Linked DNA regions of Caenorhabditis elegans. The protein of the gene in region 1 interacts with the protein of each later gene in a pairwise test. Each region holds a gene or a part of one and is shown in the gene's direction. Other genes may lie near its edges.

Region 1 (14,883 bases):
ACAAAAGAACAAGAAGAAGAGAAAATGGGAAAAAGGAGGGGCAAAAAGCATGTGTTTGTTATCTTCAAAGTGCTGCTGAAACCTGTGTGCATGTGCATAATCGTTAAATAAAAAAGATGGAAACGTAATAGATTATTGAGCCAATAAACTGGGTGGCGGGGGAGGCAATAAAGGTTAATAAAATCAAAAAGTTCAGGGTAAGTTTCTCTGGAACTTTGGAAATTGCCACTGAATTGAAAATTCCGTTTTGAACTGTACAGTTACTGTAGTTTTAGTACTTTTTTCAAACGAAAAAATTCGAAAAATTGATTTTTCTTGAGTTAAAAATAATGAAAATCTTACTATCAAACTTGTATTTAAAAACCTACATTTTTCAGATGATCTAAAGGTTTTGGTAATTTGACAAATTTTCGGAAATCTTTTTTAACAATATTGTTCTAATTTACATTTTTCTACTTTTCCTTCAATATTTTCTAGCAACCATCTTGAAAATAATTTTTAAAAAAATTCTTTCCCACTGTCTCTACTCTACATCCACACAAAGCATAAAACTACAGTAACCGCCCAATTATTTTAAAGGTACATTCCACCTTTTCAATCTCTATATCAGCAAATCTCTCAAATGGTTAACGGAACAAATGGAACATAAAAGTCTAAAAATTCTCCATTCGAGCTGCGCCAAATTTCATTTTGTGTGGCGTTGTGCTTGTCGACGTTTTTCGAGAGGCTCACGCTTTCTTCTTCTCCTTTTTCTTTTTACCCAAATTTTTGCATGAATCGAGAAGCTTTGGTCATTTGTCATTTGGGACGCTAGCTGACCGACCAGCTGTGGGAATGGATATCTAGATTAGGAATTTTGCAATTTTCGAATAAAATTTTCATGGATTAGTTTATAGCTATTTATAACTTTGTTGCGCTAGAAACTGTTGCAAAATATTCATACCGGCCTTCAGGCAGACAAGGGACAAAAAAGACTAGCCTAAGTCTAAGACTAAGCCTGAGCAGAAGCCTGAGCATAAGCCTAAGACTAAGCCTAAGCCTGAGCCTTAGCCTAAACCTAAACCTAATCCTAATCCTAAGCCAAATATTAAGTCTAAGCCTACGCCTTAGCCTAAGCCTGAGCCTAAGCCTACTTCTAAGCCTTGGCCCAATGCCAAACACAAGCACAAACACCAAACTTTTAGCCAAAAATCACAAAATAGACCGGCTTTCAGGCAGACAAGGGACAAAACATGAAAAGAGGAAAACTATGACCGGAAAAAAACCTTGATAGTGTGTTTGTTCGAGAAAAATCGCTATTAAAAAGGTGCATAATGAGGCGTGAAAAAGTAATAGAATAAAGAGTGAGGAATCTCCATTGTGCTTCTTCTTCATTGCCTTATTCTCTTGGAGCTCCGCCCCTTTGTCCAATTTCCCAAAAGTCATAAACGGCTCCTCTTCAAAACATGGTTTAATTTTGATTTGGCGGGGCGAAAGCTTCAAATTCTGATTGAATTCAGGCGGTGCGAAGAGATGAGGGCATGAAGGGGGACCACGATGGAATTAAATAGGAAATCACACATTATTCAAATGTCTTTTGTGTGTGTATGAGTCTGTGTCATCAGCAATATGGAATCAAAAGAAGGCGAGAAGGATAACTCGCACTTTTGGAAGCTTCAGATAATGAATAGATGAATGCATTTTTGATGGAATCCCGTTATGGGAGAGAGGAATTTTTGGATTTGGAAGCTTAAAGATCGGAGATTTCTTTTTCAGCGCGTGTTTTTGGACTATTAGCGAAGGCCTGGGCTTCCGGTTTCTGTGAACCAAAAATCAGAAAAAAATAATTGTCAGGACTGTTAAAAGAGACATAACACTGTAAAAATTGAACTTTTGGTCGACAATCGGGGAATTGAAGGGTCTCACCACGAAAAATTGAATTTAGAAAATAATAAGACTATAACAAATTTGCTTCAACTTCCGACTAGATTGAGAAAGCCTTTCGGAACTTTTCGCTTCAAGACCCATCCTGATAGATTCATGGCTCTTTTATACCATTTGCGCGTGACGGTTTTGGATTAAAATATGATGAGGGGTCGAACAGGAACTCACGTGCTCATGTAAAGGTGGAGCAGCGCCAGCGGGGATTTTTTGTCCAAACTCATTTTTAATAAGCAAGTACAATTTAGAACTTTTAGAGCAATTTCGAACGCCCACACGTGGGTTAATACAAATATTTGAAAGCTTTATTAAAGTACGAAACTTTGTAGAAAAAAGTTTTTTTTTTCAGTTTCTGCCAAAACGAAGAGAGAAAGTTGAAAAGTACAAGTGCAAAGAAATTCAAAATTCATAGAAGAATGACACAAAAACTGACACTTATATAGAGGGTTCTCTGACAATTTTTGATCTTGACCATTTTTGATGTCTACGCGTAAACGCGCTCTAAGGCCAACGGAACGATCCGCCCCAGTAGGATGGGTCTCGTTAGGTAATATTAGGAAAACCGGGAATTCGAAATTCGAATGTTTAAATCATTTTTCGACGATTTTTTAAATATGTTTTACATTGGTTTTAGTAATTTTTATATGGGTCTTGATGTTTTAAAAATTCATATGAAGTTTTTGAATTTTATTATATCAATATTGGCATAAAAACCATTGAAACAACGGAAAATATAATAAAAAATAAACGAGACTATTAGGAAAAGTTTGAATTCCCGGTTTTCTCGCCAAACACCTAACGAGACCCATGGTTCCGGGGCGGGGCATTTCCAATTGGCCGTGGAGCGCGTTCTGCGTCCCCATAATATTGAGATCCAGTTCCTGTAGAGTTCGAAATTCTCTTGTTCCTGAGAGCGATAATATGAAAAAAAAACAAAAAAAAGTTTAAAAATGCTCATCGCATTCAAATATTCAAAGTCCTTCTCGTCCTTGTTGCCTAAATACTGATTGACTTGAGTCAGCAAGCAAAAAAAAAGAGAAAAGGAACATGATATACTGCTCTTCTGAGCCTAGTGGGCCGGAAGTGCTCATCGTTAATCTCTGCGAGCTTCTATGGAGACATTTTTGACAGAAAAAAGTGACACAAAAACTTCCAAGACACACAAAAATTTTGTCATTTCAAAAAGCTTCTATCAAAAAAGTTAGGGGAGAATGTGCGAGGAAAATCCGAATTTTCCAATTAAAAAAGCTAGAACAAAGGCACCTGTGAGCCCATTTTTGGGGGGAAGGCGAGCAGGAAAGAGTATCATATTACTACATCCATGAAACTCTAGGGAGAGGATTTGGTTTTTGATGGTGAGAGAGGGAAAACTTGGAAAATGAGATTCATTCAAATATGGGAATGTGAAACTGATAGTGAGAAACTGAAAATAATTGAGAAATCGTGAAGAAAAAACCGAGGGGGAAATGAGATTTTTGAAAAGGTACACAAAATTGGTATTACGGTAGATAAAGGTTTCAATTGATATATTTGAAAATGAAAATTATTGCCTTAAATATGAGCGTTCAGATGAGAGTAAGTGAAGATTGAGGTTTCAATTGAAGTAAAAAAAAATGGGATGAAGAAGCATCGACGGACGGACGGGGGGCGCAGAGTCAACAAATAAAACAATTGAAGGTAAATACATTGAGTCAAAAGGAGGCAGAGTGTGTTCATTTTTGAGGTCCTCCAGCAGTAGCAGCAGCTACTCGTCTTTCTTTTCGTCTAACGGCATGTTCTTCGATTCGAGAAATTCGGTCACTAATCGTAATTCGACAATGCCCGACAGCTGATCGTTTCCGTCATCACCACGGGTCCACCTGGAGAAATTTTGGAATTGAAATTGAAATATTTGAATAAGCAAACGACATCTGGTTGGAAGATGAGAATTTATCTATTTGGGGGGGGGGGGGGGATACTCACTTCAAAACCCGATGATCCTTGAATTCGACAAGTTGGGTTCGAAGAGCAGCGTCAGTTGAAGCAATGAAATCATCTCTGGAATTTTTAGGATTTTTTAAATCGAAAAACAAAAAAAATTATTTCAAAAAATTACCAATTTTGAAGTTTTTTCAGATTTTTTTCGGTTTTTTTGAACGAAAATTAGTGTTTTTGGGTTTTTTTTTCAAATTTTTTGGTTGTGCACAAAAAAAACCGAAAATCGAAAAATATTTCGGGGCATCCTTTGTGCAAGCTTGCAGGTTTTTCGGTTTGGCCTTTAAAAAATTGAAAAATCGAAAAAAATTAGATTTTTTTGTCGGTATTTTCAATTAAAAAAATTTCCCGCTCTGCCCAAAACCAAAAACATCAAAAATAATTAGTTTTTCAGTTTTTTTTGCTCAAAAACTCTAAAAATCAAAGTTTTTTAAAGGTTGCTATTATTTATGATTTTTTCGGTTTTTTAAACAAAGTTTCCGTTTTTTGGTTATGCTTAAAAAAGGGGAAAAATCGAATTTTTTTTTCAAATATTCCCAGTTTTGAATTTTTTGCTTTAAGAAAACTGAAAAATCGAAAAAATTTATTTTTTCCACTCACTTTGCCGCATTGAACAAATCCCAGAATTTGACAGGCTTCTTGGTGTCAAAGTACATTTGGAAAAAGAGACGGAATAATTTTTGTGAATTGACGGCAAGAGATTTCCAGAACACATCAAGCGATGACATTGTATGAGAGGATTGATTCGAACGAGCATCAAGACCAAGAAGACGAGAATCTCCAGTCATTAATTCTTGAAGTGGAATTTCGAAGGTGTTGATTGTGATGTGAACGAATGAGAGTGATGATAGTTGACGCTGAAATAAAAAAAGATAAATAACTGGAAATAACTTTTCTAATTTTTAAAATATTTTTGAACCTCTGGAATATTCAAATACAAATTATAAAAACACATTTAGAATAGAAAAATTACAATTTTTTTTGTTACATTTCTAAAATTATACCATGCCTTTATGAATAAAAAGTTTTTAATTCAAAATTATTTCAAAAAAGTTTATAATAAATATTTTTCATTTTAGAACCATATTTTTGGCATTAATAAAAATGTTTTTTAAGAATGTTTGTTTTTTCTAATTTTTCTTGTTTTTTTTTAAAGTAGAAAAAATTTGTTTGATTTTTCCGGAAAAATTGAGAATTTCAAAAGAAAATTGACTAAACATTTTTACAATATATTTTATTTTATTTGAAAGCTATTTTTCGGAAAATCTAAAAAAAAATCTAAAAATCGTTATTTTCAAAAATTTAATGTTTTTAGTGGGTTATAATTCGAGTAAATGCCATCAACTGTAGCGATTTTTTTAAAATTTTTTTGCCATAAATTTGACTGTTTTTCAAAATTGTTTTTTTTTCGATTTTTTGCCGTTTTCAGATTAAATATTAATTCGATTTTTTTAAGATTTTCTTATTTTCTCTTATTTTTCTCTCTGTCAAATTTTTATTATATTTATGAACAAAAAACATACTAAAATATATAAATTTCTACAGAAAAAAATAATTTTAAATAACAAAAAAATATAATTTTCTGTTTTTCGAAAATTAAAATTTTAGATACCCACCGAATTCCAGATGAACGTCGAGTAAATGTGATCAACTGTAGCAATCAATTTCACCGAATCCCGATTCTCAAGAAGTTCGCAAAATGCTTCTTGATCACTTCTGAAATTAATTAAAATTAATTTTTTATACATAAATAAAAGCGAATTCCCCTCACCTCCAATCAGGAGCTTCAATATTATCAATGATAAGAATCAACTGTTGGCTATTCATTTTTCTGCGAATAGATCGAGCCCAACTAATCGTAGATTGGCCTCTCTTCACATTACAATTCAGCTTCATATTCTCATTGATAGCTCCAAGAAGAACTTTTACATTGAGCCCATCTTTCCGTGCATCCACTCTCATATATGTATAATCGGATAGCTCATTCTCAAATTCTGTGAGAACATCACGCTTCGAACCGACACCGTGCAAAAGAATATTAAATCCAGCTGCTAGGTAAAGCTTCCATTTTCCGAAATCATTATCCGCGAGATGCTCCAATCGTTTTTCGAATTCCGTGTTATCTTTTTTGGTAATATAATTTCGAAGTCCAGGGAGATCACATTTTGTGAAATCAGTGATAGCATTACTGATCTCATCGTCTTCCTCAATTTCTTCAGTATTTCCATTTCCAGCACGTCTTCCACGACGGGATTTCGCATTATTCATTCGTTCTGACGCCGATTTTCCTTGCATAAAGTAATTTTCGATTGCTGATTGAGCCATTGATACAGTTTCATCCCTGGAAAAATGATTGATTTGCTTCGAAAATGTACTTATTTTTAGCTAGATGGAAGATTTTCTAATTTTTGCGCCAAAATTCCCGGTCTCGGCACGACAATTTTTTTTGAATTACAAACGGGTGTGCGCCTTTAAAGAGTACTGTAGTTTCAAACTGTGGAATTTTTATCGATTGTTCGTTAAAATTCATGCGCTTTTAATTATCCTAGTTTTTTGTTTATTTAAAAAAAATTTTAACAAAAAACAATGAAAAATCGATGGAAATTCCGCAACGAAATTTTGGCCTACCATTATTAAAGGCGCACCGAATCATTCAGATGAGTCTCGGCGCGCGAAAAACTTTTAAATTTTATGGTAGTTTTTTACTTTCATTTTTCAAGAAATTACTCCGTTTTTTGTATTTAGTTCTCCTTCTATTATTCTATTAAAAAACCGGAAAAATTTAAAGAAAAAGAAAATACTACGATACTGTTTTCCGCGCAGAGACCCGCCTGAATAGATCTGTGCGCCTTTAAGAACACATATTGTGATAATACAGCACTCCTTATAGACGCACCCCCGTTTTGTTTTCAACAAAAATTGCCGTGTCGAGACCCGGTTTTGCTCAAGAATTCATCTGGATAATAGATACATACTCGAAGCCCAGTTGTTCCAAATCTTCTTCTAAATTTGATTGCAAATTTCTAGAAGCATTCTCTTTTCCATTCGTCTTTTTCTGTCTGGATCCTTCTTTTTCTGGAGTCGATTTTTTCACAGGAACGGCGGCACTGGGCTGGACAGTTGCTCGTTTCAAAATTTTTGGCCGTGGCATTTTCTGAAATTAAAATTGAAAAATAGATATTTAGATTCATGCAGGAAATGTTAAGCTTTAAACTGAAAATATAGTTAGGCGTTAAGAAAACGAACCAAAAACTCAACAAAAACAGCACAAAATCAACAATTTTTACAATGAAAACACCATTTTATCCGAGGTTTATTCATTTTAATTCACAAAAGAGTATTGGAGAGATTATAAATATCACATTTTAAATTAAATAATTTATAGAATTCCATTTACTTGAGAAGAGACCATTTGAACTGCTCGTTGGCAGATTTCATGAACGAGAAGCCGATTTGTGATACGGATTGATCGGAGAATGAGACTTCGTCGGATTTGAGAGCGGTTCTTTGGACGACAGCCTGGGCGTCAGTTTCCATGATAATTCTGTAATAATTATTTTAAATCAGTTGAATACTTTTAGAAATAAAAAAAAATAACCCTTCATCACAGATTTCGTCAATAATCAGCATGATAGTGTCCATGGAATCGATGAGAGCCTTCTTCTCGACGTTTTTGCGAAGAACGACAGACACAGCATCGTAGAGACAGGTGAGAGTTGCGTCGAGGAAAAGCTCATTCTCGCGGGTCGATCCGAGCACGTAGAAGTACAGATCAACGTTCGAGCGGTACAAGCAAGTCACTCCGTCGAGAAGCAGGATATCGGCTTAAAATGTTTAATTTTTATTGTTTTCATCAAAAAAAAATCAGCCAAACCTGAAGTGTTGCGGGAAGTTTTCGAGAAGAGACTTTTCTCGAAAGCTTTTTGCTCCTTGACAGTTCCAAAGGTTGTACGGTCGTAGTACTGAAAATCGATATTTTTTCGAGTTTTTTGTATGGTAATTGTGAAATAAACGACAAACCTTGGCAAGAACACGGTTTCCATCCTGATCAAGAATCACAATTCCTTTGATACTGTACAGAGAAGTTGGATTCTGAAATTTCGCTTTTTAGTTAAAAAAAAAAAACTTCAATAATAAGCTGCAAATGAAACTTACAGTGTCAAAGTCTGCCATCTTATTGCAAATCCTCTCTTTTGCTAATATTACCTATAAAATTAAAAATTTATCTCTGAAAAACAATTTAAATGGAGGAAAAACATTGAGAAACAAGATAATCCACGTCAATAGTCAATGAAATTGAGCGCGTAAATCGACATGTGATCGTGGCGAGACCCGAGGTGGCTGGCGGCCGCCGGCCTAGGTTTTCGTGTAGATTTACGAGCCGATTTGTTTTCGCAATTTTTAACAATCGGCATTTTAATTAAGCTTAATAACTACATAAATGTAACTAGTATTTATTTGTATTATTTTCAGATAAAATGGGAAAAAAGCAACATCAGAAAGATAAACTCTATCTGACCACTTCTGAATGGAAATCGATTGGAGGACATAAAGATGGTTTTTATTTAAACACGAGTTATAAATAAAAACAAGATTTAATTTCATATTTCAGATACTGGAACAAGACTCCAAAGAGCACAGTTCAAAAGGTTACCCATCAACCATTGCTCGCTGTCACTTCTACCGTTTGAAGACCCAGTTTGCGCAAGATCAGGAGAAATTTTCGATTTAACGTAAATTTCTGTTTATTTTTTTTACTTTTTATTAAAAAATTTTCAGTGCTATCGTTCCTTACTTGAAGAAGCATGGCAAAAACCCGTGTACAGGAAAACCGTTGGTTGCCAAGGATCTAATCCACTTGAAATTCGATAAAGGAGAAGATGGAAAGTTCCGATGCCCAGTTACATTCAGAACATTCACGGACCACAGTCATATTCTGGCCATCGCTACTTCCGGAAACGTCTATTCTCATGAAGCCGTGCAAGAATTGAATTTAAAAAGAAATCATCTCAAGGATCTTCTAACCGATGTTCCGTTCACAAGAGCTGATATAATTGATCTTCAAGACCCAAATCATTTGGAAAAATTCAATATGGAGCAGTTTCTACACGTGAAGCTTGATTTAAAGACGTCAGAAGAGATTAAAAAAGAAAAAGATGCAATGAAAGATCCAAAATTCTACATTCGACGAATGAATAATGCTTGCAAATCAGTTCTTGATCAATTGGATAAGGAATATGTCCCAAAGAAGAGCTCCACAGAAACTGATGAAACTGCCGATGAGATCAATGCAGCACATTATAGTCAAGGAAAAGTCGCAGCTGGATTCACATCCACTGTAATGGCTCCAGTTACAAGCAATAAAGCAGCTGTTTTGGATAATGATACAGTTCGGTACAGCCGAGTTAAGAAAAATGCTTTTGTGCGGCTTGTTACAAATTTTGGGCCATTGAATCTGGAATTATTCGCGCCGAAAGTTCCGAAGGCCTGTGAAAACTTCATCACACATTGTTCGAATGGATATTATAATAACACCAAATTTCATCGGTTAATTAAAAACTTTATGGTAAATTTATTATAAAAATAGTTAAAGTTATAACAAAAAATAATTAAAAATTTCAGCTGCAAGGAGGCGACCCAACTGGTACAGGACATGGTGGAGAATCAATTTGGGATAAGCCATTCTCAGATGAATTCATCTCCGGTTTCTCCCATGATGCTCGAGGTGTGCTCTCGATGGCTAATAAGGGCTCTAACACCAACGGATCACAATTCTTCATTACATTCCGGCCGTGCAAGTATTTGGACAGAAAGCACACAATTTTTGGGAGACTTGTTGGAGGACAGGATACACTAACGACGATTGAAAAGTTGGAAACTGAAGAGGGAACTGATGTTCCGATGGTTTCAGTTGTTATTATGAGAGCTGAAGTATTTGTGGATCCATTTGAAGAAGCTGAGAAAGAAGTTCAAGCTGAGAGAGCAGAGATTTTGAAGAAAAGTTTCTTAATTCTATTACTAATTTTAAAACTAATGATATCTATTTTCAGCTTCTAAGGACGCAGCTTCATTAGCAAATAAAAAAGCTAAAGAAACTGCAACAAAACCAGAAGCAGTTGGAACTGGAGTCGGCAAGTACATGAAGTCGGCCGCAGCTGTGAATAAACGACAAGGAAAAATGGAAGATGTACCCTTGGAGGCCGCAAAGAAAACTAAATTTGCAAGAGCAGGCCTTGGAGATTTCTCAAAGTGGTGATGAAGACCCTCTCTTTTTTTTTAAATTTAAGGAATAAAATACTTTCATCGAAAATATAATTGAAATGAAAAGTAATCTTAAAGAGGATAATTTACATTGCAAAATACAAAACAGTCGAACGAGCACCTAGAACGAAAATGGTCCAGGAAAAGCTCAAGCTCTTCTCGGAAGGAACATCAAGGCATTTTGGTAATAAATTGTGGAAAAGCCATAGCACATACACTTTGGAGCGAGGAGAAATTGTGGGAAAAGAGATTTTAATAATTCTAGAAAAAAAGTTTACACTCGAGAAAAGGCAATGAAAAAAGGTTTTAAAAGAAGAAACAAGCTGGTATTATGGTAGATAAATATACAAAACTCGCAAATAAAGCATTAAAATGAGAGATTTTGAGCTGCAAATGTAGATAGATCACTCAGTTTCCGCGGTTAGCCATGGCGTTGTTCAACTCGCGAACGATCTCATCTTGCTTCTCGAGCTCACTCTGCTTCTCTGTTGAACGGAGATCCGACATCACCTGGAAAATATTTTTTTCGAAAATTGTACTTTTTAAAAATGAAACTTTTTTCATATAATAAATTTGCATTTTGCTTACCTTCTTCGTCTTTCCAAAGTATATCTCATTGATCGTCAGACGCATTTTCGACTCCTGATCCTCAATCATTCGTCCCATATTAGCCAAGTGTGTGTTCTGATCGTTGATTGGTGCATCCATCTCATGCTATAATATTTCTTTTTAAATATATTCACAACTCGAAACCAAAACCTGTCTTGTAAGGGAGCCACCGAGGTTCATCACACCGCTGGAGCTTTTGTTTGTCTGCAGCCACAGCATGATAGTGGAGGTGAGCTTGTAGTGAGCCTGGCGTGCCTGGAAAATTATAAATTAAAAAAAAAAACTCTTCAACAGTTTTTGAACCAACTCTTTCCGTGATCTCAATAACGTGAATAGAATCCCAACATCCTGTTATATTTTTGGCTCCGTCTCCCTCTTTCTTGATGAGCACAATTCCGGCGAAACCTCCATTATCCAAGTCCCAGAAGTAAACTGATGAGACGCCTCCCTCGAAGTATCTGGAAATTATTATTATTTATGAGCAAATATATGATTTTTCTGTCAACTTACAAATCACGGTATGACTCAAAAGCGGCATTTGCCTCGATTTCCATTTTTCTGCGCTTTTCCGATGGCAATTGTCCATCCTCGAGTGGTGGATCATAGGTATTACTCCATGGTGATCTGAATTATCAGAAAAAATCGATAGATTTCAAATAAAATGACTCATACCTGTAGCTATCGCCATCTCGATTGTAGTCACAAAGCAAATACTGTTTGCCGGTCTCACGGTCCGCGGCGATTTTCAGCGGTTGATCGATAGTGCCTAAAACCATCAAGCGAATTTTTTTAAATTAGTTAAAAAGGAAACATACTGAGAAGATCATCAACAAGATGAGGGCACAGATCGATGAGGTCCGTCAAATTCTTGTCGCAGTGTTGTGGAGGAAGTCTTCGCATCAAGTCGAGGGCACAATCGAGCTGTTGTTCTCCCTGGTAAATATTTATTATAAATTGTTTTTAAAATATTTATTAAAATACCATTTTTGATAGTTTCGAGCCGGATGTGGGTGTGCTCCCTGAAACAATAAACTTTTATGTCAGATTTTAAGTCGTTACAACCTATTAAAAACATAAAAAGACTCTAAACGATTGGGTAATGATTTTTTAGTTCACAAATAAGATTAAATTTCGCAAAAATATATTTTAAAAGCCATTAGAAAGCAGGAAAGTTGCGAAACGGAGCGACCACTTCATTGATTTTACACTCCGTTTCTCTCACTCTCTCGTCCCTCCACCGTACCCATAGTCACTCTCGTCGGCAAATCGCGGCGAGACCCGCGAGCTTTTGGCGTTTCGCCAGAGTTCTTCAAATTTTTGTTTTTTTCTTCGAGCTTTTAAATTTAAGTTTTTTCCGTCAATTTTTATGTTAATAAACCGAAAAAATTAATTTTAAATTAATTGACATGAAATTTTCATCGCAAGTTTATCCGTGTTCTGTACATTCTCATCGCTTCATCTCCGAGAAAACACCGAATCCACTAAATTTTGTTATTTCAGTAATTGCAGCCAAAACGAGTCAAAATTGGAGCGCGTCAGAGTAAACGTCACTGCCGCAACCTTCCATCTGAAGTGAGTATTTAAATGTGAAAATTTTGAAAAACTGGGTGAAAATTCGCGCACATTTCTGTAAATTGGCTCCCGATTTGGTTTTCAACGTTAAAAAACGAAAAAAAGCATTTTCAACGTTTAAACGTGCGTTTTAAGGAGGTTTTCATTATAAATTGCCAAAAAATTCCACTTTCCATTGACTTCAAATCATTATAACCTAGCTTCAGCGTGCAAAAAGAACAAAGGCCGTCTCGAAAGTCAGTGAGCATACTATGAAAAGATCGAGTTCAATGTTGGACATCAACGAGGACAGTCAACATTCCACGGTCAGAACTTGTACTTTTCTTTTGATCTTGCCGCTTTGCTAATGGATTTCTTTTTTGAATTTTCGTTGAATTTAATTATTTTATCGCTGCAAAGGGCTTTTACAATTTTCCCTGAAATCGTCACTATAAAAGAAAAGAAATAATTGCAATTTTATTGCATTCTCCGCAACTACATTCTGTTTTTTCCGACTCCAAATAGTTCAAAGTTCTCTAGAATCACAATATCTTCCTCTGAAGACAAAAGATCAGTTGTCACTAAAGCCACATGCCGACTTTTCTGTTCAAGGGGGGTTCCACCATATGTTTCGGCGCTCAAATTACATGTTTTTTCGCGAAAAAAAGCTAATTTTCCTGTAACCTGAAGGGTTTTCTTTTTAAATAAATAAAAATGTTCACGTTAATCCAGTGATATATCGAAACTAGGTGACCTAATTGACGTGGAGTTCAGATTATACCGGCTTTTCTAGAACTTTCTATCTGATTTTCAGGATTACTGCGCCGTTTCTTGATAGTTTTCGTCTAAAAACCGAGTATATTTTAATATTTGTTGGCAGTTTTTGTCTTATTTATCACAATTTTCAGTGAGAATTCCTTGGTTTTTCTCATGGGATAAGCGTTTTTCACTGGAAAATATATTTTCTTGGTAGAAAATTCTCCTCGACGAAATCGTAGTTATATTCTCCCAGCCGAACACTAAAATGCTGGAAAACTAGGAAACTAGGGTCTAGTTGAAAAATTTTGCAATTTTTCCAAGTACAGCAGCACTTTTTTAAAATATTATCTTTAATATGATTTTCCACCATTTCTCTCTCTCTCTCTCCTGACTTTTATCTTTTTCGTCATTATTTCTTTTTCTCTGTTACAGCACTGGTTCTGCTCTCTCCTTTCCTCTTGTCGTCATTCAAAAGGTTCCCTTTGGTTTTGTTTCTCTCTTTTTTTTTCAATCTCTACGTCTCACCACTCTCTCGCTCTCTCTCACATTGTTTGATTTTGATTTCAGTTTCTGTGCTGAGAGAACTTTTCAACTATCTCTTCTTTGTTTTTTGCTGTCATCTTCTTCCTACTCTTGAAGCCGCCCGATGCTCGGTTTTGAGCCACTCAAAGCATTGAGGAATACTGTTTTTATGAAATTATCACCTTTTATTGCATATTTTGGTTGATTTAGGCACATTTTAAGTCGGTAGGCGTCCAATTTTGATGCCTATCTACTTAAAATGTGCCTAAATCAATGAATTAATTAGAGATAAATGACCAAAAGATGCAATTCAGGATAATAATTTAGGAGAAGTTGGAGTAATTTTAGATTTTAGCAATGTTTGGCTACTTTTTTCGGACTTTTCAGGCCAGTTTTAGTCAAAAAGCTGCTCTTTCCAACTTATTTTGCACTCTATGCCCTGCGTCTCTCACTATCTCCTAACAGTTCAGCCATTTTCACTCTCATTTCATCTGCCTTGGCAGCTGCATGTCAGCAGGCTCCACGTTTAACAAGCTCTCAAATTTTGCTCTAAAAAGCCGAAAATACATACCATACAGAATTATAATATTTCAGAACAAAGCTCCACCACCGAAGAAGGCGCCAGAAGATCGATTTGATAGTGCCAATATGAACGGTAAGTAGATAATTTCAATGAAAATGTGATTTTAGAATAAAATAACTTTTTTTTTGTATTAGATTTTTGTATTCACTCACATTTTCATAATTAAGACAAAAACTAATATGTTGAAAAGCTTCAGGAAGTCACGTCACCCTTGTCGAGAATCTTCCAGTTGAGAAGGTTTCAAGTGGCGAACGCATTGCCATCCTCGACTTTGGAGCACAATATGGAAAAGTTATTGATCGACGTGTTCGCGAGCTTCTCGTACAATCAGAGATGTTTCCACTCAACACGACAGCTCGTACACTCATCGAGCTTGGCGGATTCAAGGGAATCATCATTTCTGGTGGTCCCAACTCGGTATTCGAACCAGAAGCCCCGTCAATCGATCCAGAAATCTTCACTTGTGGATTGCCAGTTCTTGGAATTTGTTACGGATTTCAGTTGATGAATAAGCTCAATGGAGGAACTGTAACAAGAGAGCATATCAGAGAAGACGGAGCATGTGAAATTCAAGTCGATACGAGCGTTCATTTGTTCAATGGACTTCACAAAACAGAAACTGTCTTGCTAACTCACGGAGACAGTGTATCAGAGGCTACGGTGGCTCCAGACTTCAAAGTTATGGCCAAAAGTGGCCATCATGT
Region 2 (16,255 bases), on another chromosome or scaffold:
ATTTGTAGTCCGAGTTTTTCCACCTGCTGATTCTAGTGTTATAGCTTTTATATGACGTTTCATCCATCTGTTTCGACAATACAGTAACCCGTCGAGAATGAATATTCGGTTCTCTATTTAGCTGCAATTGAATCTTGAAAACACAAAAATTTCAAATTGAGCGAATGTGTGGCTGAGAACCAACGTTCACTCCCTTGCTATCGAAACTGCACCTGTTGCGATTTCGTGGCGAGACCCGAGGAAATACTCAATTAATAAATACAACGGTGTCAATCCCACATTGACTGATCTTGCAAATATCTTTCTTCATTGTGTCACTTTTTTTCAGAAATGCAGTTTTTCCATTAGTTTATAGTGCCCAGCGAGTAGTATATCCTCAGAAATGTTGATCCTCATGATTATAAGGTCATTATCGTTTCAAAACATGAATAGTCATAACTTTTCTCTCACAAACTTTTCGAATGTATCCTAGAACTGCTGAATCTCACAGAAACCTAAATTACGAAATCAGGTTCTAATTTTTATCAAAAATTTACAAACCTACGAGAATTCGATTTAACTTGAGAATGAAGAAAGACGCCAACTTCAATTGAAATGCACCGAATTTAGTTCAGGTTACTATCATTTGTATTCTAGATGCAAAGGAATTCACACTTCCAGCTGATATAGCGCTGATCCTAACACGATCCTTTCAACATCTTAGATTTTCGTTTAATGTTTAATCGGAATTTATATTTAAGGCCTGTAGAAATTTCCTAGAAAACGCTATAGAAATATTTAGCTGATTCTCAAGTTTTAGGAACGGGCGTCTTCCTGGTAGAAGATAGTTCGCAGCCCATAAAGACAGCACCCGGCCTAACCGACAATGGCGGTTATGAATTTTTAGACCATTTAAGGTTATGATGGCGAGACCACAACAACCCGTCGCCACGCACGTCACGCTCACAAAACACTCATTCATGCGCTCACGGAACGCTCACACACTCATGACATACACACATCATTTCGCCTCACACACCGCGCCGTCGCCATCCGCACCGCCCGGGTGGGACGTGTTCAAACTTTTCGGTTTTCGTAATTAATAGTGAGCCCCGGTTTATTCGCTTTGAGAATCAGTATAATGGATATATCAGATTGTGTAATTAGGTTGCGTGCTTGAACTTTTAAAATTAACTGTTTTAAATTTATCTGCCTTTATCGTTACAGTAAATCATTTTGATGAACTTTTCGGATGAATCATAATGAAGTACGCAGCGCTCTAACAAAATGTGTTTGTAAATTCCAATTGCTACAAGTTGCCCGGCTTATTTTTTGGTGATTGAAGCATGATTCTGTTGACGCTCCCGACGCGGAATACCAGGACGGACCGATGAGAGAGTACTGCCAGTGAAGAGACGCATGCGAGCAGGACGAGTGCTGCTCACCCTTCTTCTCAGCGTCGGCGGCTGCGACCAGCGGCCGAGGAAGGGGAGGAGAGAGGCCGATTTGGCTGCGTACCACGTTTGATACTCAGTCACTTACCACAGCTGGTTCTCTTGTGCGTTCAAATCTGGCTTGCCGCGCGCGCGCATTTTATTCCTACCAGTTTGAATCTCCCACCTCTCCGACTGTAACTGTCCTAATTTGCTTCCTTCTCATCACTCTCTCTTTGCCTATTTCTCACTATCTAGACTCTATTTTTCCAGAATGGTCACCGCCGACGAGACGGTACTCGCCACAACGACCAACACCACTTCCATGTCTGTGGAACCAACGGATCCGAGAAGCGCTGGTGAATCGTCCTCAGATTCGGAGCCAGACACAATTGAGGTGAGGAAAAGTTTTGGGAATTTAAATCTGAATAAAACGTTTTCAGCAGCTGAAGGCAGAACAGCGCGAAGTGATGGCCGACGCGGCGAATGGTTCCGAAGTCAACGGAAATCAAGAGAACGGAAAAGAGGAAGCGGCATCTGCAGACGTGGAAGTGATCGAGATAGATGACACCGAAGAGTCTACGGATCCCTCACCTGATGGATCTGATGAAAACGGTGATGCTGCATCTACATCGGTTCCAATCGAAGAGGAAGCGCGTAAAAAGGATGAGGGGGCTTCCGAAGTGACTGTGGCATCATCTGAGATTGAACAAGACGATGATGGCGATGTTATGGAAATCACTGAGGAGCCGAACGGAAAGTCGGAGGATACTGCCAACGGAACAGGTGTGTTTTATAATTTTACCAAGTTTAATTTTAACTTTCTATTTTCAGTTACTGAGGAGGTGCTAGATGAAGAGGAGCCAGAACCTTCCGTAAACGGAACAACTGAGATCGCTACAGAGAAAGAGCCAGAAGATTCTTCAATGCCTGTCGAACAGAATGGGAAGGGTGTGAAGCGGCCTGTCGAATGCATCGAACTCGACGACGACGATGATGACGAGATTCAGGAAATTTCTACCCCTGCCCCAGCTAAAAAAGCTAAAATTGATGATGTCAAGGCGACAAGCGTTCCAGAAGAGGACAACAATGAGCAGGCGCAGAAGAGATTGCTCGACAAGCTGGAAGAGTATGTGAAGGAGCAGAAGGATCAACCATCCAGCAAAAGCCGAAAAGTTCTGGACACTCTTCTCGGAGCAATCAATGCGCAAGTTCAAAAGGAGCCTCTGTCGGTTCGGAAGCTGATCCTGGACAAAGTTCTCGTTCTCCCAAACACAATATCATTCCCACCAAGTCAAGTTTGCGACTTATTGATTGAGCACGATCCCGAAATGCCTTTGACGAAGGTTATCAACAGGATGTTTGGAGAAGAAAGACCAAAGTTGAGTGATTCCGAGAAACGAGAGAGAGCTCAGCTGAAACAACATAATCCTGTTCCAAATATGACAAAACTGCTCGTGGACATTGGACAGGATCTCGTTCAAGAAGCTACCTATTGTGATATAGTTCACGCGAAGAATCTTCCAGAGGTGCCAAAAAATCTTGAAACCTATAAGCAAGTCGCTGCGCAGTTGAAACCAGTTTGGGAGACATTGAAACGCAAAAATGAGCCGTACAAGTTGAAAATGCATCGATGCGACGTCTGTGGATTCCAGACGGAATCAAAGCTGGTTATGAGCACTCACAAGGAGAATTTGCACTTCACAGGATCCAAATTCCAGTGCACCATGTGTAAAGAGACGGACACGAGTGAGCAAAGAATGAAGGATCACTACTTGTAAGTTTTTTTTTTTTCATCTTTCAATATTCATTTAATTACAGCGAAACTCATCTTGTTATTGCAAAATCGGAAGAGAAGGAGTCCAAGTATCCATGTGCAATCTGCGAAGAAGACTTCAATTTCAAAGGTGTCCGTGAGCAGCATTACAAGCAGTGCAAGAAGGACTACATTCGCATTCGAAACATCATGATGCCGAAGCAAGACGATCATCTCTATATCAACAGATGGCTCTGGGAGAGGCCCCAATTGGATCCCAGCATTCTTCAACAGCAGCAACAAGCTGCTCTTCAGCAAGCTCAACAAAAGAAGCAACAGCAACTTCTGCATCAACAGCAAGCAGCACAAGCTGCAGCCGCTGCGCAACTCTTACGGAAGCAACAATTACAACAGCAACAACAACAGCAACAGGCTCGTCTTCGTGAGCAACAGCAAGCGGCCCAATTCCGGCAAGTGGCTCAACTGCTGCAACAACAATCAGCGCAGGCTCAACGTGCACAGCAGAATCAAGGAAATGTGAATCATAACACTCTGATTGCAGGTAATAGCTAAACATATTTTAAATAAGTATTTTGTATAATTATTTATATTTCAGCAATGCAAGCGTCGTTGCGTAGAGGTGGTCAACAAGGAAATTCGCTGGCAGTTTCTCAACTTCTCCAAAAGCAAATGGCAGCTTTGAAGTCGCAACAAGGAGCTCAACAACTTCAGGCTGCGGTGAACTCCATGAGAAGCCAGAACAGTCAAAAGACGCCAACACACAGAAGTTCGAAACTTGTTACTACGCCGTCTCATGCTACTGTTGGCTCTTCTTCAGCTCCCACGTTTGTATGCGAAATTTGTGATGCGTCAGTGCAGGAAAAGGAGAAGTATCTACAGCATCTTCAGGTAATTTTAAGAAACGTTTCTATTTCAATTTCAAAACCGATTATTAAATATCTTAAACATCACATTTTCAGACTACTCATAAGCAGATGGTTGGAAAAGTGCTGCAGGACATGTCGCAAGGAGCTCCACTGGCATGTTCTCGATGCCGTGACAGATTCTGGACTTATGAAGGGTTGGAGCGGCACTTGGTGATGTCGCATGGTCTCGTCACTGCTGATCTGCTCCTCAAAGCGCAAAAGAAGGAAGACGGAGGTCGATGCAAGACATGCGGCAAGAACTATGCGTTCAACATGCTTCAACACTTGGTAGCTGATCATCAAGTGAAGTTGTGCTCGGCTGAAATCATGTACTCGTGCGATGTGTGCGCGTTCAAATGCTCGAGTTATCAGACTCTGGAAGCCCATCTCACTTCAAATCACCCAAAAGGAGATAAGAAGACATCAACACCAGCAAAAAAAGATGATTGTATTACTCTGGATGATTAATAGGAAAACGAATGGCTTATCCCGTTCTACGAATGAGTGCTGGAAACATTCTTCACAATGATCTCAATTATTTCTCTTATTCTTTACATTCAATCATTTTAAATCACCAGTTCTCCCACTTTCATTGATATACACATTCTATTGCGGGTTCCGGAACCGAAATCAATCAGTACTTTACTTTATTTCCCCAATTTTTCTCTTCATGATATCTGGTTTATTCTCGCATCTTCCCCTACCTTCAAAACTCCCTATTTTTTTTTCAAAACCTAACTACCCCACAATTATCATGTAAAATCAAATTGCAATTCCCCATAAGACAGATCAGTATACACTTTCACTTCATACGTCTGTTGTTCTCCCCCATCTCATACTTTTTTTACCATTTGTCCAGTTAAGATTTTTGGAAGATATCTATCATATAAATATTATCACCTTTACAAACCATTCTTTTTGAAACTATTTTCAGAAATAAGATTCAGATTTTCTCATAATATTTGGAGGAATCTATTTCAACAGATACGAAAGATATTCAGACAAATGACAGACTCCGTTGAAATCTGTGCTGCTGTCATCACCGGTTTTGAAAAAGTTGCAGCAAAAGAGGTAAATCCTGAAAACTAGATAAAATATCTTACTCGAGTTCCTTCAGATTTCAAAATTATTTTCGCCTAAAAAATGCCATCCAGGACGTGGAAATGTAAGATTTTCAATAGATCTGGAACGTGTAAACGAGACTCTGCAACTTCGATCAATCGATAATCTTTATATGGTTTTTTATGAAGAAACAATTGAAAAGCTGTCTGAAATGCAAAAAGAAGATGCATTGAAAACTATTCAATCGCAAATTTCATTTTGTAACTGGAAATTGGCAATTGAAGCTTATCAATTGGCACGTGGAAACGCGATTAACGGAGGAAGTGAAAAGATTTTGAAACAGATTCAACAATTTAAAAAAGATCGAATATATAGTGAAGTTACGGACGATTCACCCAAGTTTAGGTAATTTTTGAAATCAATATCAAAAATCCTTATTAAAATTTTCAAAAAAAATTAAAAATTCGAAATTTTATTGTGGTTTTAAACTGAAAAAATTTGGTACATCTCACAAAAATTACAATTCAAAATTTTAGTTTTGAAATAAAATTTCAATTATTTTTTTTCCTAATAATTTTTATTTTTCAAAAGTTATGATGACTTTTTTTTCAGAGTAACATGCAAACGATGTGGAGAGAAAGAGATTCACAAATTCAGTTCAATGGATGCTGCTTCGAAGTTTGGAGCTGAAATTAATAATGCTTTTGGTTGGAAATGTAGTGTCAAAGAGTTCGATATAGAAGTAGTATTAAGGATTGATCGGAATAATGTAAGATCGGTGTACCTGCAATTTTACAAAATGAGATAGTGTTCTCCCAATCAATGGTGGAATTTTTCGATTTTTTTCAGTGAAAATCGAAAAACGAAAATTTTTGATTTTTCGATTTTCAAAAACCAAAAAAAAAATTCAGAAAATCAACCATAAAATATGATTTTTTTTAAAATCTAATATATTGATATTTAGATAAGAAAAAACATAAAAATTTTCTAAAAAGAGGAATAATGACCAAAATATTAAGATAATTTTTGAAAATCGAAAAAACGATAAAATACATTTTTTAATTTTTCGATATTTGAAAAATCGAAAAATTTTCGCACCCTTGCTCCCAATATCTCTCATTAAAATTTAGGAATTTGCTTTATCTGAAAATAGCTAGCATTTTAGTTGGAAAAAATTTTCAGATAAATCAAATTTTTTAAATACAGTATTCTATCAAGAACTTTTAATGAAAAAAATTGGGAAAATATTCCACGCTGGCTCATTTTGTAGAATTTCTGGTCAGCTGTTTTCTTTGAATTTCTTCTAATTCATTCATATTTTCAGATGACAGTAATGATGGCTCTGAACGAAGAATCTCTATTCAAACGTAATATCTGTGCGTATGGACCAACTACAATGAGATCTACAATGTGTCATTGCATGCTTCAATTAGCTGATATAAAACCAGGAGATATTATTGTCGATGCAATGTGTGGAGGTGGCTCTATTCCGATTGAAGGGGCAATTTCATGGAAAAATTCATTATTTTTGGGTGGAGATAATCATGAGATGGCAATGAGCAGATGTCTACAGAATTGGGTAAGAAAAAACGAAAATTTGAATTACCGCGGGTTCGTCTCGAAACTCCGCCCATTTCCGTGTTTTTATCATTTTCGGCGTAAATTATTCGTTTCGTCTCGCATTTGGCGTTCGGCAATTTTTTGTCGACAAATTCAGCAAATTGCCGATTTGCCGTTTTCCGAACATCAATTTGCCGAAAGTCTTTAGAGGGATAAAACTGTGCCTTTTTAAAACATTTCCTGTTAAAATTGAAATTCCATAATTTCACAAAAAATGTGCAAAACCATAGTTTCCCAAAATTTTTCGGTAGATTGCCGGTTTGCCGATTTGCCGGAAAAATAGTTGTTTTTTTAAATTAGAAGCAAAACGAAGAATTTGTGTCGAAATTATTTCAAAAATGAGTAGATTAGCCACAATTGAAAATTTGCCATTTTTAAATAATAAATATTTTAAGTCGGCGAATTCATCGAGCTCCCGATCAAACTGCGACTTTCTCACTTGGGATGCTACAAATCTTCCACTACGCGATAATTCAATCGATGCACTTGTCACGGATCTACCGTAATCATTTCAACGATTTTTCCACTTAAAAACATTTATATTTCAGATTTGGCAAGAAGATAGGAAGTACCACAGATAACAGGTTACTGTACCCGAGGCTTCTCGCAGAATGGAAACGAGTTTTAAGGAAAGGTGGACGATTAGTCTTGATGACTCATGATAAACGGAGTTTAGGTATTGTGAAAAAACTTTAAAAACCAGAATAATTATTTAATATTTGTAGAAAACTCATTCCTAAAAGATCGGTCTTCATGGCAAACTGACGCGTCTCATGTTGTCAACGTTGGTGGATTATCATGTCTTTGTATCTGCATGATAAATAGAAAATCTGATTAGATTTCAAATTTTTAACATGCTTGTTTTGTTTATAAAATTCAATGAATAAATCAAAAATTCATTGGCTGGTTTCACATAAAAGGCACAAAATTTAAAAGTGAACATGATCAAATAGAAGACACCGGTTTGAAAAGAGAAATGGCGAAGATGGATGAGAGGAATCACGAAAATCTAAACTCGATGAATGAAGTGCAATGATTTTTTATTGTTATTATTATTGATTTTTTCGATTGTTGGTAGTTGAGCAAAATGAAATAATACCTATAAAAAATTGTTCAAATATATTTTTATTTGATTTAATACTTACTTCACTTGCATTCACTGCTTTCAGTACATCACTGTTACATCGAACTGATTTTGCTTTCGGTGGAATTGGTTGAAAGAATATTGAACTTTGAGTGGGAACGCAAACTGCACGAGTTATTCGATCACATTCGGATTTCTGAAAAAAAAAATGTTTTCATACAAATAATTTTTATCTGAAACTGAGGTAGCTACCTCATGTTGTCAACGTTGGTGGATTATCATCCACCGACTTCCTCTAGAGCCTGAAGCACTAATTTTGAATTCAATCCGTCACTTTCAAATTTATTTAAATTTTTAGGCATTTATTTAAATTTTTAGGCAATTTGGGTCAAACTGTCTAATCTTTCGTAAAAATCAAAAATGAGCGGTGCAAATCTCTTGTCAGTAAATCTACAAATCTGACTTTCAAACTACAGAATTAAGAGACATTTGAGACAAATTTTATTAGAAATTATGTGTCATTTCGTTAGAAAGCATTTAAAAGCCATGAAATACAATTTAAAACAAAATGTTTTTTTTTAAAATTTCTATTGTAGTTTTGCCAATTTCTGAAACGCAGTTTTAAAGGCGCATGGATTTATTCAGATGGGTCTCGCCGCGAGAACAAGTTTCTGATAGCGGGTTACGGTCTCTTTTTTACTTAGCTTTTATCTTCTGTAACATAGTGAACAAAATACTGGAGCGGGCACTAAAATTAACTAAAAAGTGCTACCATGTACTTTTTCTCACGGCGAGACCCACTCGAACAAAACTGTGGGCCTTTAAGAACGTGTTTCATAAAATTACAAATTCATGATATTGAGTTTTCATCTTAATAGTTGGAATATCTTATTGAAATTTGCAGTTTTGTAGCTTTTCTGAGAGAGCCTACCGCCCACCTCCTTAAAATACCAAAAAATCAATACCTCTACATCTTTGCAATGTTGTATTAGATAAGGTTTTCCAGAAGCTAAACATGGCGATGATTCTACAATTTCATAAAATGCATTTAATTCGGCTAGCTGAAAATTTGGAATATAAATACAAGATACAACTACAGTAATCCTTACTTGTTTTTTATTATGTTTCCACCTTCGAAATCTATAGACACAGAATATAGTTGTTATCAATAATCCAACTAATATGACAGGAAGCAATGCAATAAGGGAATAATCTGAAACTGAATTCAATTATATAAATTATAGTTTTAATTTAAAAAAAAGTGGTTTTCTTTGCGTCTCTGTATCTCTCTTACAGTACCTGAAACCACGTGAAGCCGACCATCGTTGACAACGAAATCGCGATGCGATGATTGAAATTTTCGAACGTCGAAAAAGTCCATCAGTGTAATTCGACGATTTGTAGAGTTTGAATGATGGGAAGTAGAATTGGAAGAGGACAGAAGAGATGATACTGTCGGCTCATCGCCCTCTTCCGGTTGACCGTTGACTTTCTACAGAAATTTCAGAATAAGAGGTCGGGAAGAGGATTTGTGGTAAGTTTTGAACAATTGATATAAGAGTTTTAGAAGTAATTAAAAGTGTCTAACTTCAGAACTATATCAGATTTTCAGTCAGAAGTTTTATGGCGAATATAAAAGTTTAAGTATTGTTGCATTCTTGAAACAAAAACTATATTTAAAAATGGAATATCACCAGTTTAATCCTAAAACGATTAACTTATCAAAAATGCTTAGAATTTCTTCATTTACAGCCAAAAAGTGAAAGTTATATTACTCCACCATTCAATAATTATAATCAAAATATAAAGATTTGGACAATTTACCAAACAATTTTGACTGAAAGTTTCAAAAATATCAAAACAATTCTAAAGTGTTTTGTTTTTGACATATTTCAAGTATGGTTTTGCAGACCTTTTTAAATTTACAACGGCTCTAAATTATCGTAATTTTGTGAAAACGAGAAACATCAGCTTAAAAGTACACAAGTATTTTCTAAGTGGGCTTCACCACCATCTTCGAAATTCAGATTACGTACATACATAGTCACATACTCAACTCCAAACTAAAAAAACTAAATTACCTCACTACGTTTCCTCGGAATATTCCGATTCATTTTAGTTGAAGCAGGTGAGAAATCAAAAGAAATAATAATTATTTTTTCAGAATGTGTCCATTTTGGTTTCAGTCTCTTTATGTTTGAAAAAGAAGAGAAAATGCACCTAGGGACACGGAAAGATATCATATTTCTAACCAAATAGGACCACAGAAAACCAAAAGAAGGAGGTCGCTTTGTATGAAATTGGAGTGAAAAAATGCTCTATGGAATATAAGTTTTTAAAACAGGTGTTGTCAATTTTGATTTGTTTGGAAGAAAAAAACCATTAAATAATATCGAATAAAAATTTTGGATTTTACGAATTGGTAAAACTGCAACCCGCAAATACTCAAAGCTGCTCAGTACCAAACGTAGGAGAACTAATCAGCTTAAAATGAAATGTCATAAGCAAATGGCATAAGTCGTGTAAATTAACTTTCTATCCATGTAAAACCAATACAATAAAATTGGAAATATAATTTTAAAATTTTAAGATCACTTGTTTATTTAGTTAAAAATTTCAACAATTAGATGAACCAAAGATGCGAAAAAGCATTAAAACCATTATATGGGCGGAGTCTGTTGAATTTATGTAGAAATAGAAATGTCTTTTTTTTCAATGGCAAGCTATTAAAAAGTATTGGAAAAAATTGAAAAATACTCCTGTTATGTTGAAAGTTGAAAAAAATTAAAGCAGGCACGACAACTTGGATTTTTTAAAACGTGGTGAGCATGTTCATGAGTCAACGGAAATTGATTTCACTTCCAGAAAGAAACATTGGGCTTGATACATTTTCAAAAAAACCCAGAAATTTAAAGTTTTTAAAAGTTTCTCTGGATTTCGTTAAGCGACATTTTGACTTTTTAAAATTTAAATTATAACACTCACTTCATCGATAAAGTTTTCAATAGAATATGGTTGATAAATCATAAAGGAATTGGGAAAAGTGTTCATTATTGAAATAACTATTTTTCCATTTTGTTTTGCCCATCGGCAATAACTTATTATTTAGAGATGAAAAGTTCGTAGAGAGACGCAGAAGAAAAAATGAAATTCAAAGTCCCTATGGGTAATTATTCTTGGGAAAAGCGAAGCTAAAAAGAAGGAAAACGATGATAATGAAGTCTGTGTAGAGACCGGGGGGCACCGCCACCAACCACCCGAACACCAAAAATTGTATAGGAAAACGGAGGAGTTTGACGTCAGATTTGTGTTGTGTCTCCCGTGTGTACAAGGTGGGAATGAGGATATAAGAATAGAATAGAGTGGGATGGAAAAAAAGGAAAGGAGAATTTTGATATCAAAAATAGAAGTAGTTGGCGAATGCGTTTTTACAAAGAAAAATAGCCATCTTTCGGCTCCTTTGGTTCCGGAAAAATGTGGTGGAAAACGGACGATTTATGGGTTCTTTTGAATGGCATTCAAGAAAAGGAAAAAAGGGTGAATAAGAGAATAAGAGAAGGAAATGAAACGATGCAATGAGAAGTCAACTAGAAATTTATGGATCAGGACTTGAAATCTAATTATCTAGTTTGATCAACAGTTGACAAGAATTGGAGACTCTTTTTTTGAGCTTTTCAGAATTAAATACAGAAAGTATAGCACAGTTTTTTGATAGTTTGGGATAAAAAACAAAAATCGTCTTCGATTTTTGACCTAAAAACAGCAGTTGAAATTGGTGAAAAAAACTTTGGATTTATTTTGAATTGAGCTGAGCTAAAAACGATAGTACTGTAGAAACCAAAAATTAAAAAATATTTCAAAATAGATATTTTTTATAAACTCGAAAAGTGTTCAAAGTACAGAAATTGTGTTTTTTGGATGTTTTAATATCGAAGAGCCGTAGAAAAAGTATTAGTTTTAATCAAGACACCAAAAAATGCCCTGCTCTGTTTGGCATCACCACAGTTTTTTCTATTGAAAATGCTTTTAAACGTTCAAGTGAAACGATTAACAGCTTCCAAGCTTGAAACGAAATAATGACCACAATGACCGCTTTTGCACACACTAGAGTATGGGGTATCATTAGGAAAAGAAGAGCATTCTATTGAAAGTTCCGTTAGCAGGCATACCTATTTATAAATAGACAGCACGTTTTTCTCGCTCATTTGTTTGCAACTTTCCCTTTAATTTTGATATGCTAATTTCTTATTCGGTTAATACGGAAAAAAGGCCATCGGAGCCATATATACATTTAAAAAAATATTGCAAAGCTCTCGGACCAATCGGAATTTTTATGCAATACTGATTTTCCAGCTGCAAACATTACCAGTGAAATTTTTGATTCACTTTTTTTTGAAATAAACAAGTGGAAATATCACGTCTACCAAAACGTCTACCAAAACACAAAAAATATTTAAAAAATCTTACCATAAAACATTTCCAGCAAGTTTCGAATATAGCGCCACCCAGGACCATTTCTTTTTGTTCAAAATGTCATATGTTATTCTGTTTTCTATAGGCTTAAAGAAGTTATTGGACGCGGGAAAATAGAGAGTATATGGGGGAAGTAAGACTCTGAATGTGTCGTCGAAACAAAAGCCCTAACGAATGTCTTGGCACTATCGAAAGCTGTCTCGCGTTCTTTTTTGACTTGGTCCGTCCCCTTCCCTACCCAAAAAAAGAGAATGCAATTTAGCAATTAATCTTTTTCATTCTAGTTGATTGAAAGGGCTCTCAAAAAAGATTGAGTACTCTGTGGAAAATACGGAAATTTCAATTTATCGATGAAAGTTTAACTCATTTAAAAATGTTGAAATCTCATTTTTTAAATTTCCACAGTAATCTCTCTAATTAACTCTCAAAAAAGAACAAAAGATATGCGATATGTTGAAATTGAAATTTTTCACTTGCAGAATTGAGAAAAACTTGACTGACGTTGTGCAACAACATTTTTTTAAATGCCTACGTGCCTGCCTTTCGCTTGCTTTCTGTTGTTCAACTAACCTGGTTAAATTGATCGGTGTTGTCAAAAATCGTCTTTATTTAAAACTTTTATGGCAAAAATTAAAAGTTCGAAACAAGAAATTAGTTCAGTTTCTAGGAAGGAAAAATAATAAAATAAGAAAAAAGATCACTATCTCATATTTCATTCATCTATTCTTCAACTTTTTGTTGTTTCTCCGAAGAGTTCGATACGAGCACACATAAATAAAAAATAATGAAAAAAAAAAGAAGAAAGATGAATTAATTTTTTGCATTTGCGGGTGCCCGACCCCTTATTTGAGTTCAGTGAGAAATTTACAAATGGATAAAAAACGAGAGAAGTTTGATTGGGGGAAAACACCTCTCGGAGCAGGAAGCAGAACAAAATTGAGTTGGATGGAAGCAGAAGGGGAACGAACGGATACAAATTTAGACAAGGAACATAAATTTTCAGAAGAACAGAGAATAACATTCAGTGCTTTCAGTTTTCCTGTGCTATATTTTAACATCCGTTTTTTTCATAAAATTCGTAATTCAATGATGTCATAAACTTTGTTAAATTTTGGAACAGTTAAATTTTGAGATGCTATAATTGTGAGTGTACCCGGAAAGAATATTCCCACAATTGACAATTTCAACCTACAAAAGTCTGCTGGAGATTCAGTTTTTATTAGCATGAAATTTCACGAATTTTTAAATTTTTAAAAAGAAGCATCCGGCTCGTAAGTTTACTGTATCTTTTTGTAACGACTTTACTATTTCTTGAACAAAGGTGATATTGAATAATTTAGATTCAACTTGAAAAAAAACTTTAGGAAAAAAGTTTTAAATAAATTATCCTACAAATCCGCAAGGATTCAGGTCAAATGTTTTAAAAACCAATTTTTAATTGTCAGATTCATTTTTAGAATGTTTCTAAAAAATGATAAAACTTACAACAACTTTGCTGGTAACCATGATTTTAGTAGAGAATATGAAGAATTTTGTGTAAAATAAAACTGACGTATCCTTTTCGTCCACTCAAATAAAATAGCCAAGAGATTTCGAGTATTTTTGAAAATAGGTCCGAAAAAGAAGAAAGAGACGGAGAGCAACAACTTTAACAAGTGTTTTTTTCCTTTTCGGCTCTCGCTTCATTAGTTTAGGAGTGAGCTTGCCACCGAGCTTTTTCTGGGCCAAAAAACTCCAATTTCTCTTTTAAAGAGATTGTAGATTTCCTTATATATGTGAAAATGATATTTAAAGTCATAATAGGAAACAAATGAAAAACGGATAAAAATTCTCTTTTTTGAATTGAACACAAAAAGGAGTGGGTGGGGGAAAGAATTGTGAAATGAATTTTGAAAACAGATTCTCAGAATTGGGAGCGGGAAATAGGCAAAACTGACTGCCAGACAACTATAATTATTTTTACCTTTTTCCACTCAAAATTTGTTGTCTGTAATTTAAAACACAGATCAACGCATCCGTTATATTTTCAGGATTTTAGAATATTTCAGAAAGCCACAGGCTTCATAAATTTCGAACTATTTATATCACTTTTTCAAAAAAAAAAAGTGACACTCGAAAATGCAACGAGCGTACATGTATATTCAAAAAAAAAATTTCAAAAATAAATTGCAAACACAGTTAATGTAAGTTTACTTGCGAATCTAGCGAATTTTGTTTCATGTTTTAAAGACTTCCCGTAGCACCTTCCCTCGCCTTTCGCCTGGAAAACGCCTCGAGTGAAGAGGCGTGTGAGAGGCGCCCTTACAACGCCTCAGTCAGGTGGATTTTTCAGTTTTTTTTTTTGGGAAATTAAGTTGAACCATGTTAATAATCAAACTTTTTTTCTGAAAAATTCACACCTATTTTTTCGAGAAAATTGCCAAAATGAACAAACAAAAAACTCAATAATGAAGAAAGAAACAACTATTCTGAAAACCAAACATCATGTTGTTCACAAGCTTTTCAAAAAAGAACGAATGATCCATTCTCAATTGGATTGAAAAATTTAATAACACAGATCTTTTTAGAGATAAAACGAACAAAATTGTTTTCTCTATTGTTCCGGAAAGAGTAAAAACTTTGCTAAAAAGTGAGTAAGTGTTTAAAATGTCGTGTCCCGAATGACGACTAATTAGACATTTTTCCCTGTTTCTCCTGCTCAATTTTTTCTTTTTTTGAAAACTGGTGAAGCGAAGAACGGAATAACAAATCGACCTCGTCTTTTTCTTTTTTTCGTTATTTTATTTTATTGTTGTTCATTTGTTTTTCTGAGCAATCCTTATTTTCTTTTTTTCTTTCTGATGTTCTCGGAAAGAAAAATGGGAAATTGGATGATGTTCTCAATAATTTAATTCAGAAAACAAACAACGCATGGCCTTTTGTAATCAAATTGAATTTCAGTTGGAAAAAGGACAACTTGATCAACAAATATTCAAAGTTAAAAATAAGGTCGTATTATAAGTTCGTTTCCATTATAGACAGACATTTCTTAACGCCTGCCAATGTGCCTACCTACGAATTTTATTAGAACCTATAGTTTTCTTGCGGAGGAGAAGGTACAAAAGTTGCAAATTCATGTTTGAACGATTGCACAAAAGTCAATTAATGACGCTCTAGCGTTTTACGCAGGCCAAATAATTAAAACATCAGACACACAAATTCAGAAATTAGGCGATAGGCATAAGGTGTCCCTAACATGGGAATCACACTATAAAATTAAAAATATTAGGAAAATTGTCTGTGAAAAAGTTTGGAATTTCAAGGGAAATAATTATCTCAAAAAATTTCTTATGAAATTGAAAAATTGGAGATATGTAGAACAAATCGATTTTTGAAATTGAACAAAAACTCCTATGTTAGAATTTTTCCAGTCTGTGCAAAATGTAAGACGTCAGAGCCGTGCAGCAATTCATTTGTCACATACACACACCAATACGCTCTCATTCCTTCTCAACACACACACGAAAATAGTGCTTAAGGACATGATTAAAGAGTCATTGGAAGAAATAAGGTCCCATCTCTCCTCTAAAAGCAGAAAAAGCACTCGATTACCAATTCAGATGACGATAGGATATAAACAAACAAAACGAATTCTTGAATTCATTTTGTAGTAGAAACGAGGAACGTTTTTTTTTTTGGAAGTAAGGATTAGGAATTTAAAGTCGGAAACTGTTTTAGAAAATGTTCAATGAGAAGATACGATATTTCGGACAAGTTTGAAAATCCGGTGAACATAATCAACCGACGAGGGTACAAAAAATTCAATTCAAAATTAATTAGAACAATTAAGATTTAAAATATAAAATGCCATGAAACCCAGATCTCTCGTTAATCCTAATTTGAGCTAAGGAATTTGATATATTATTGTCGCTTTCAGTTTCAG

What was found.
Region 2: the proteins of cyn-4 (region 1) and mep-1 interact in binary tests that used the Caenorhabditis elegans proteins (3 or more experiments, as listed by UniProt).

Annotation. Positions count from the first base shown.
Region 1 is NC_003280.10:10,866,096-10,880,978, reverse strand, and holds cyn-4 (Peptidyl-prolyl cis-trans isomerase 4), read left to right. Parts: upstream 1-8,367; 5' UTR 8,368-8,372; coding exon 8,373-8,451; intron 8,452-8,506; coding exon 8,507-8,627; intron 8,628-8,673; coding exon 8,674-9,460; intron 9,461-9,516; coding exon 9,517-9,895; intron 9,896-9,944; coding exon 9,945-10,150; 3' UTR 10,151-10,200; downstream 10,201-14,883. Other genes in the region: lurp-1 (UPAR/Ly6 domain-containing protein), read right to left, coding at 1-51; orc-2 (Origin recognition complex subunit 2), read right to left, coding at 3,665-3,779, 3,883-3,957, 4,495-4,751, 5,511-5,610, 5,666-6,235, 6,870-7,045; copz-1 (putative coatomer subunit zeta), read right to left, coding at 7,288-7,438, 7,493-7,718, 7,769-7,856, 7,915-7,986, 8,050-8,067; cap-2 (F-actin-capping protein subunit beta), read right to left, coding at 10,564-10,665, 10,744-10,869, 10,915-11,019, 11,072-11,222, 11,275-11,388, 11,437-11,530, 11,580-11,697, 11,746-11,748; gmps-1 (putative GMP synthase [glutamine-hydrolyzing]), read left to right, coding at 12,588-12,641, 14,191-14,251, 14,370-14,883. UniProt on the Caenorhabditis elegans protein: May catalyze the cis-trans isomerization of proline imidic peptide bonds in oligopeptides thereby assisting the folding of proteins. May also function as a chaperone, playing a role in intracellular transport of proteins.
Region 2 is NC_003282.8:11,522,957-11,539,211, forward strand, and holds mep-1 (MOG interacting and ectopic P-granules protein 1), read left to right. Parts: upstream 1-1,685; 5' UTR 1,686-1,686; coding exon 1,687-1,809; intron 1,810-1,855; coding exon 1,856-2,198; intron 2,199-2,246; coding exon 2,247-3,189; intron 3,190-3,233; coding exon 3,234-3,730; intron 3,731-3,784; coding exon 3,785-4,077; intron 4,078-4,148; coding exon 4,149-4,562; 3' UTR 4,563-4,998; downstream 4,999-16,255. Other genes in the region: thum-3 (THUMP domain-containing protein), read left to right, coding at 5,100-5,165, 5,212-5,561, 5,769-5,925, 6,481-6,735, 7,172-7,278, 7,325-7,452, 7,502-7,614; M04B2.7 (uncharacterized protein), read right to left, coding at 7,786-7,875, 7,922-8,056, 8,826-8,921, 8,970-9,079, 9,160-9,352, 10,846-10,911. UniProt on the Caenorhabditis elegans protein: Has a broad role in development, specifically in the genetic pathway SynMuvB that negatively regulates specification of the vulval cell fate. Required for fem-3 3'-UTR-mediated repression in the regulation of the sperm/oocyte switch.